2 linked regions of the Oryzias latipes genome follow. The protein of the gene in region 1 purifies or fractionates together with the protein of each later gene. This does not show direct contact. Links are inferred from orthologs where the notes say so. Each region holds a gene or a part of one and is shown on either strand. Other genes may lie near its edges.

Evidence for each region. The genes of interacting proteins can lie anywhere in the genome.
Region 2: the proteins of sirt1 (region 1) and kat5 purify together in Homo sapiens (affinity purification with western blotting; 3 studies listed by BioGRID). This does not show direct contact. The link is inferred for Oryzias latipes from reciprocal best matches to the Homo sapiens genes SIRT1 and KAT5.

Annotation. Positions count from the first base shown.
Region 1 is NC_019873.2:29,790,710-29,795,142, forward strand, and holds the start of sirt1 (NAD-dependent protein deacetylase sirtuin-1), read left to right. Parts: upstream 1-1,482; 5' UTR 1,483-1,517; coding exon 1,518-1,851; intron 1,852-2,557; coding exon 2,558-2,680; intron 2,681-2,755; coding exon 2,756-2,991; intron 2,992-3,071; coding exon 3,072-3,224; intron 3,225-4,433. Other genes in the region: dnajc12 (dnaJ homolog subfamily C member 12), read right to left, coding at 389-676. UniProt on the Homo sapiens protein: NAD-dependent protein deacetylase that links transcriptional regulation directly to intracellular energetics and participates in the coordination of several separated cellular functions such as cell cycle, response to DNA damage, metabolism, apoptosis and autophagy.
Region 2 is NC_019872.2:15,158,580-15,161,888, forward strand, and holds part of kat5 (histone acetyltransferase KAT5), read right to left. Parts: intron 2,542-3,309; coding exon 2,491-2,541; intron 2,201-2,490; coding exon 2,126-2,200; intron 2,057-2,125; coding exon 2,000-2,056; intron 1,657-1,999; coding exon 1,489-1,656; intron 1,393-1,488; coding exon 1,318-1,392; intron 1,216-1,317; coding exon 1,153-1,215; intron 910-1,152; coding exon 661-909; intron 1-660. UniProt on the Homo sapiens protein: Catalytic subunit of the NuA4 histone acetyltransferase complex, a multiprotein complex involved in transcriptional activation of select genes principally by acetylation of nucleosomal histones H2A and H4.

The DNA.
Region 1 (4,433 bases):
TTTCAGAATAAAATTAAAAATGTGGTTTTCATTTTTGCAACTGTAATCTGATTACTTTCGAGGATCTGATTACTCCCATTTCTCTGGGTTTTGAGGGCATGTAAACCAGTTTGGCAATCGGATTATCCTGTTAACATGATCACTTCAATAGTCTGACTGAATAAATCAGAGGATGATAATCAGATTTTCGGTGGTCACGTCATCGGCTTCAACCACCTGTGGTCCGGGATTCGGTTCTGACGCCACAGAGCACAGAGCGCGTGCAGCATCTCTTCGTGCGTCACGTGGTCTCTTTTCTCACGATGATCAACCTGCAGGTTGTTAATGGTCGACAAACATGTTTTCCTTTTCCTGCAGCTCGGGCAGGAATGACGTCATCAGAACTTACGGACGACAGCTCGTCGCACCCCAGCACTCCGTAAAAATCCTCCCGGTCCTCCGGTTTACTGCGCAGAAGGGAATCCATGGCTCTTCTTTTACCGGACCGGATCTCTGCGGTTCTGATCCAGGAAGGTCGATGGACCAACTCCCTCTTCCTGGGATGCCGCTGAGGTTCTTGGTTCTGGTTGGACTGGGATTCTGCTGATAAATCAGCTGAGTTTAAAAGAACCGAACAAGCTCTCACTTTCTCACCAACATGTGACGTGGGTTGCGTTCGAGGACCCTCCTTTGTCATGGGAGGAAACACTCCCGTTTTGGGTCATTCCAGTTAATACTAAACCTCAAAAAAATAAACTCAATGTGTAAGTATATATTGTAATTATAGCGTTTATATTTTGATATGTTTTCAGAATGCTGATAGAGAAGTTCTTGATTTAAATACATTTGATTCAGTTTCTGCCTTTTTATGCTGGAATTCTCCAAATCCGTCAACAGAGGAAGAAAACGCTTTAAACTAAAAAAATCTAATACTTTTTACAGCAATAAAAAATAACTTTACTGAGAATGTTTGCTTAAAAATTCAGTGTGCAACTGTTTTCGTGGTTGTGATTTAGTGTTTGATTTACCAAGTTCATAGTGAAAGTCTAATTTTAAATAAGCATAAAAACCTTTAACAAGCAGAAAACCTTAACACTCGGTTTACTTTTAATACGTTTAACGTAATATGCAATAATGGTAATAATAATGTTCATGCATGCAATTTTATATCAGAGCTTTTTTTTAAAGATGGCTTTTATTTTTATAACTAATTATTAGTTAGTGTGACGTCTGCTTTGAAAAATAACCATTGCTAGCAGATAACTTTCTGGTCACTTGTAAATTCTTTGTCTGATACTGAACTCAATCTTATTTATTAGACATATTTACTTCGATAGTTAATGCTGCTGATAATCTTTAAATGAGGTGTTTTCACCTTCGTTATTTATTTTTTCCTTATTATTATTTTTGCATATGTTTTAATGTCTTTCTTTTGTCCGACCGTTCATGAAGGCATCAGTCATTTGTTATGGTAGACGTCATCACGCGCGTTATGCAAATGAGCCAGCTGTCTGCTCGGCGGCTCCTGCGGGCTGAAGATGGCGGACGACGAGAGCAGCCACCGAGCGGCCTTCTCTGGAGCCTGCGTTGCGGACGAACCCGCCGCTAAGAGATCGAAAATCACTCCACCGGACGACCGCGTCTTCAGATCCATCGAGGCGGAGCCGTTTTCCTACGTCTCCCCGGCCACGGAGAGCCGGGAGGCGGCGGTGAATTGCGAGCAGCGGGCCGAGAGGGAGGCGAAGCCGGCGATGGCGGGGGAGCAGGCCGCAGCGGGCGGAGACAACAATGGGCTGGGACTGCTGGGATGCGAGCCGCCGAACCCAGCCGAGAGGCTGAGCTTCGGCTTTGGTTCTGCTGAGGGGAGAACGGGTGAGTACTTCTGGTTCCCTGACGAAGGGCTCCGTGTTTTCATCGCTCGGAACGGCTGGTTGTTAGCCCGACGTACCGAAGATGAAAGGAACCGGAAGCGGCAGGAAACAAACCGATGCTCGGCGAAGTTCTCGTTCCTGTTCGAGAACTTCGCCGACTTTGACCACGTGACTCGTGTTGACCTAAAAGTCCAAACTTTGGCGGAACTAAACCGTTTAACCCAACTGGAAAATAGAGGTTTAAAAATCCATCAATCGAGTTCAGTCAAAAACTGAACTCCGGGATTTAATTTAAGGTAATTTCCCGGATTTTCTTATGTAAAGATAATTAATTATGAAATAAAAGCTCCACATTTATCCAAACATTAGAAATGATGAATTTCTAATTAAAGTTATTAATCTCAATAGAATAGATTTAGGTGTCATTAATGAATCTTAAGATCCATCAGTTATTGGTTTATTTATAACATGGAAATAGAAAACAGAAATCAGGAATTTTCCTTTATATTAAAATTAAGAAATTAACCAGGAATCAATGAATTCCCTTTATATGATTGAAGTTCTATTAAGTTGAGGTGGCTCCAATCAGAGCAGCTCCTTCAGCTGCATTTTAGTCATCCTTTCCTGAAGCATGAATACGGTCCGCGTCGTGTGGCGGCAGAGGTCTCGGCGTTCGGCCTTTGACCTGCCGGTTTTGCCCTCTTCAGGCTTCCTCGGGGCTGACGATCTTCCCTCCAACGGTCTCGCCGTCACACCAGAACACCTTAACGACGACGATGACGGATCCTCTCATGCTAGTTCCAGCGACTGGACTCCGCAGCCCCAGATCGGTCAGAATGAGGCAGGAATGTATTTTCCGCGTCTCCCTGCAAAGCCGTTGTGAGCTCAGGTGTGTGCGTGTGCAGGTTCCTACAGTCTGATCCATCAGCACATCAGAGAGACGGACCCCAGGGCCATTCTGCGGGACCTGCTGCCCGAGACCATACTCCCACCCGATCTGGACGACATGACCCTGTGGCAGATCATCATCAACATCTCAGAACCTCCCAAAAGGAAGAAGAGAAAAGACGTGAACACTGTGGAGGACGTGGTCAGACTGCTTCATGAGAGCAAGAGGATCATGGTTCTGACCGGTGCAGGTGTAGGTGTTTCAGTCCCCAGAAGGGCTTTTTCTGCCTTCATGTTGGGTAAAGAAACGGTAAACACCGGTTTGCTTCGCAGGTTTCAGTTTCCTGTGGAATTCCCGACTTTCGCTCCAGAGATGGGATTTACGCTCGGCTTGCTGTCGACTTTCCCGACCTTCCCGATCCGCAGTCGATGTTCGACATCGAATACTTCCGACGAGACCCCAGACCGTTTTTCAAGTTTGCTAAGGTTGGAAGGTTTTTTTTGTCTCTTCCTTCTCTGGTCCGGCCCAAGTTTACTAAACTAAAGCCCCCAAAATGTTTGTGACATTTAAATGATTTAACTCACACTTCTGACTAAATTCAGATGAAAAACATATTTCACTATGTGTCTATGAAGCCTCTCATTCATCCAGGTAGATTCCATCATAGTAGTGGGTTTAGGGGCCGTCATCTGGACTTAAGAGATGGTTCGTTGTGAAGGTCCTTCACATTTCCAATTAAATATGATCTTTTGTGATCTCCTGTTTGACCCTGAAATGACCCAGAAGTGACCGGCATGCGCAGAAGAGTCCTCAACGGTGACCGACGTCACTGTTGTTTATGGAAGTAGCTAACGTTAGCAATGGATGTCAACAACAGTGTTGTCAACAGCAGAGCTATTTTTGCTTTATTACATTTATTTTCACAAAGGAGCCAGAATAATTACAATCTTCTCATTTTAAAAAGAAATTTAAAAAGGAGGAAAGTTTGTGGCCATGGCGTTTTTTGAAGCAGTGTTAGCCAAGTCTGTACAGAGAAACGTGTGGAGTGGTGGGATACTGATGTGAGGAGCCAGGATCGTCTGTACCCTCAGCCATTTAGCTGGAAATGTTTTCAAAAACTGCCCGGTTACGGTAAGAGCCCTGGAGTTTGGCCTGAATAGAGAAATATGAATCCAATCGGTGACCTCACTTCCCTAACACTGACTGGTCTCAGCAGCATCTTCGCCATGGTTGATGTTTATGATCTAGTTCCTGCCTACTTCAATGCAGAATGATGACGTTTGTAGCGTATCGATGACGTACGGGTCGGATTCATGTGGCCTGGCCGCTCAGACAGAGGTCGAAGAGATCGGATACGTATTCGATTCAGGACCACATACCAAACTGGCTTGGGTCGCATTCGAAAAAATCGGATCTGTGTCGTTCAGACTGTCATGAAAAGATCAGATACAGGTCGCATAGGGGCAAAAAATTGGAATTGGGTCGTTTCAGCCTGCAGGGTGAACGTAGCCTTTTAGGCCCGTACACACCGGGACGAATTTCGTGCGCGATATTTGCCGGCGTTTAACGCCTTGTGACTAAATAAAGGGCACCAATGTGAGTGTGCACACCGACGCGAAAAACGCCACGAGTAAAAGCGTCATTTTTTAAAAAACGCCTCGGGTTCGTTTTTTTGGTTTGACGCACCGCGTCAA
Region 2 (3,309 bases), on another chromosome or scaffold:
TAAACATTTTATGTCATGTATGACTATGGTCTCAGTTTATATTTGTCTTAAAGGGGACACAAATTTAGGGATGGGTGCCGTTTGGGTTTTATCTGTGCTGATATGTTACTTTCGAAAGTAACAGAACCATTTTTTGGGTTTTTATTTTAACTGAATTATGGAAAAAAAGATGCAATTTAAAAAAGAAAAAAAGGAGCATCACAGGTTCCTGCAGAGCCTGAATTTTTCTGAGCTGCTCATTTCTCTCAGTCAGTCTCCCTTATCCTCACCTGCACCATGTGGATGATAAATTATTATTGCAAAATTAATGCAACTGATGCTCACTGCATTGTTGAACGGGAAATGCTTTTCGTATTTTGTCAATATATAAGAACACACCTTAATAATATGTCACTGAGTCTTTAGACGGGTTCGCAGTGTAAAATCACGAGAATAGTAATTTGTTTTTTTCATTGCACAGCACTTCATTTTTGTCAGTTTAAGTTCACTGTGCCTCACAGAAGTGTTGATTTAATGACGTGAATGTTTTTTTCACAAATACTTGGTAGTAAGAAGAGGGCAGCACTTTTTATTCTTTTTAGGAACTGTTTGCTTTGTTAATGCAGTGAAACAGTAGAGGGCAGGAAAGGTGAGAAGCAAAAAAAGCCCCAAAAATCTCACCAGATGCCTCTGGAGACACTTGAGGCTTTTCAGGTACTTGAGGCAGAATTCACAGAGGTAGAGAATGGGCAGAGTGGTCAGCTCCTGTGGGTACGGCGAAAAGTACCACGGCTTGAGCCTGTGCCGGCCTAACTCGATGCACTCGATGTTTTTCATGCGGGTGATGATGTCATCGTGACTGCGATCTGACACCAGGCTGCCGGTCATGCGGGGTGCTGTCGGTATACCATCAGAACTGTCTTGGGAGTCCTAAACGAAGACAGTGGCCGTTAGTCCCAGCTGATCCTTAAAACCAAGTTACAAAACGGTTTCACAGGGTTATACTAAACAAGATTCTGTTTTGTAAAGATCAATCATAGATATTGATTTTACCAACCGAGAACAAAATTGGATCAACATTAACCAGAGTCAATCATTTATTCGAGCAATATAAACAGCTGATTTTGGACTTCAATACACAATAAATTAGCAATAACAGGTAAATGAACAGACCTCTGGTGGGGGTAGAAAGACGGCGGCACTTTGAGGCTTGTTATACTGCAACACCTTTATCATCTAGAGAACACATGGTGGCAGAATCTTAATGCAAGTAACAAAATGAAACCTTTGCACTTTGACGAGTTTTTAAAATCTTCTAAAAATCGAGCTGCTACATACCTCATCAGGACCCCCACAGTTAGCTTTCCTCTTTCTACCAGGCTGAGGGGGTATTAGACGCCGGGCGGTGCCGTTCTACAGCCAAAAGAAGACAAACAGCTGCTTATTCCTAAAACTGTAAAACCTAGAAGAGAAGTTCATGATGATTTAAGAAAAGAAGATTTGCTCCACCGTTGTGACTGTGGGAATCGGCTCAAGGTCTTCCCGCGCCTTGAAGGGGGGGGGCTCTCTTACGACAGGGAAAACAGCCGCCTGGGAGGTTTCAGTTGAGCTCGGCAGGGCGGGCACAGGGGTGGCGGGTGGTACCGGAGTCACCAGGGGAACCACCTCTTTCCTCTTCTGCAGCAAATATACATCATTACAAATCCTTTTAAAATGGGGGAAAAATAGATAAACATTTGACCAGGACATTTTTTTTTTTACTTTAACCCCTGAAAATCCTGCACAAGCAAAGGAAAATTATCCAAATGTTTTATTCACTCCTTATGACTTTACTACCGACAGAATTGTGCTCTTATCCTCTATGCAGTTAGAAGGATTCTATATATTGCATTCAATATCTAAAATTATTGAAACTTGAACAGACTACATACTTCTTTGACAGATTATAAGCTGTGTTGATAAGCAAAACCCCCCCAAAAAATGTAACAACCAACTTGTTACTAAATCCCTGCATCTTGACCTTTTTCTGTAGCGCCACGACTTTCTTCTTCTGACTCAGCTGCACTTCTAACCTGAGCTAAAGAGCGATACAGTCAAGCTAGTATGATAACAGTTCTAATTAGGTCTCAGAATGGGTAAATTCTACTTGTACCGGCGTGGGGAGGGTTTTGCCTCTGGAAGGAGCTGTGGCAGATTGGAGGTTGAGATCTAGAGTCTTCCTCTGAATTGAACACAAAGGAAGATAAGGGCATTAACTGACACGGGGTTAATGACATGCAGGATTCAGCCGCAGGTTGATATTTCGGCTCACGAACAGACTTCGACTTCATGATTGGAACAGAATTAATAGCAAATTAATAAGTCTCTTGATTGGTTTATAAATGCCGCTTGTGTTTCAGAGTTTCATTAAATCAACCGGGCTAAGCAACATATAACAAGCTTCTTTAAAACAATTTGAAAAAATTAGACATTGTTTCTTTTTAAAAACAATTATGTCTGGTGTTATATTACCTGTTTCTTCTGCAAAGCTGTGTCATTGTTTGTATCTTTCTTCTCACTCACCTCACAGGAGAAAAGCAGACATGTGTTAAGGGCTGACAGCGGGGTGTCATTACATGATACAAAAGATCCACATTTGACATATAAACAGAAAAATACTGAGACTTTGGGTTCAAGGACCAATAATATGGGATTTTTGTCTCAGTAGTGAAAAAGAAAGTAGTCCCAGTCAGCTTTAAGGGCTTAGTTAATTACACATTTAAGGAGCAAGAAAGACTGAAGAATAGAGATTTTATAGTTAATACAATTTTACATAAAGTAAACCAGGAGATCATCATTCATTTCAATGAAACAAAAACACAAAAGGCAGTGTGTGGAAAAATTGAAAACTTTGATTTACTTTTTCTTTTCCACAGATTAACAGCATTTCTTGGATCACTAGTTTGCTACCTAATCCAGTTTTTTTTAAAAAAGGTTAAGAGCAGCGTGTGTAAAAAATAAAGCAAATTTCCCAATTACTTTGTTTCAGACGCCATAATTATTGGACAAACTTTTTCATGGCCAAGAAAAATAAAGAGGTCAGCTGCAAATCTCAAAGATGAAACATTGCTAAACCAAATCATAGATGGATTCTAATCGTGGTCTTATTAATTCAAGTTTAAAAGGATAAATCAGAAATTCTCAGCCTGACTGATATAAATGCCAAAAACCTGAATGCTCAATTCTTCGCAGCCGTCTAGCAGGAATTTGGGGTTTGATTTACTCTTTATAGTGTTTTTGTGAACAATGGAATAGTGCATTTAAACAATAATACACTGCAGTGTTCCTTAT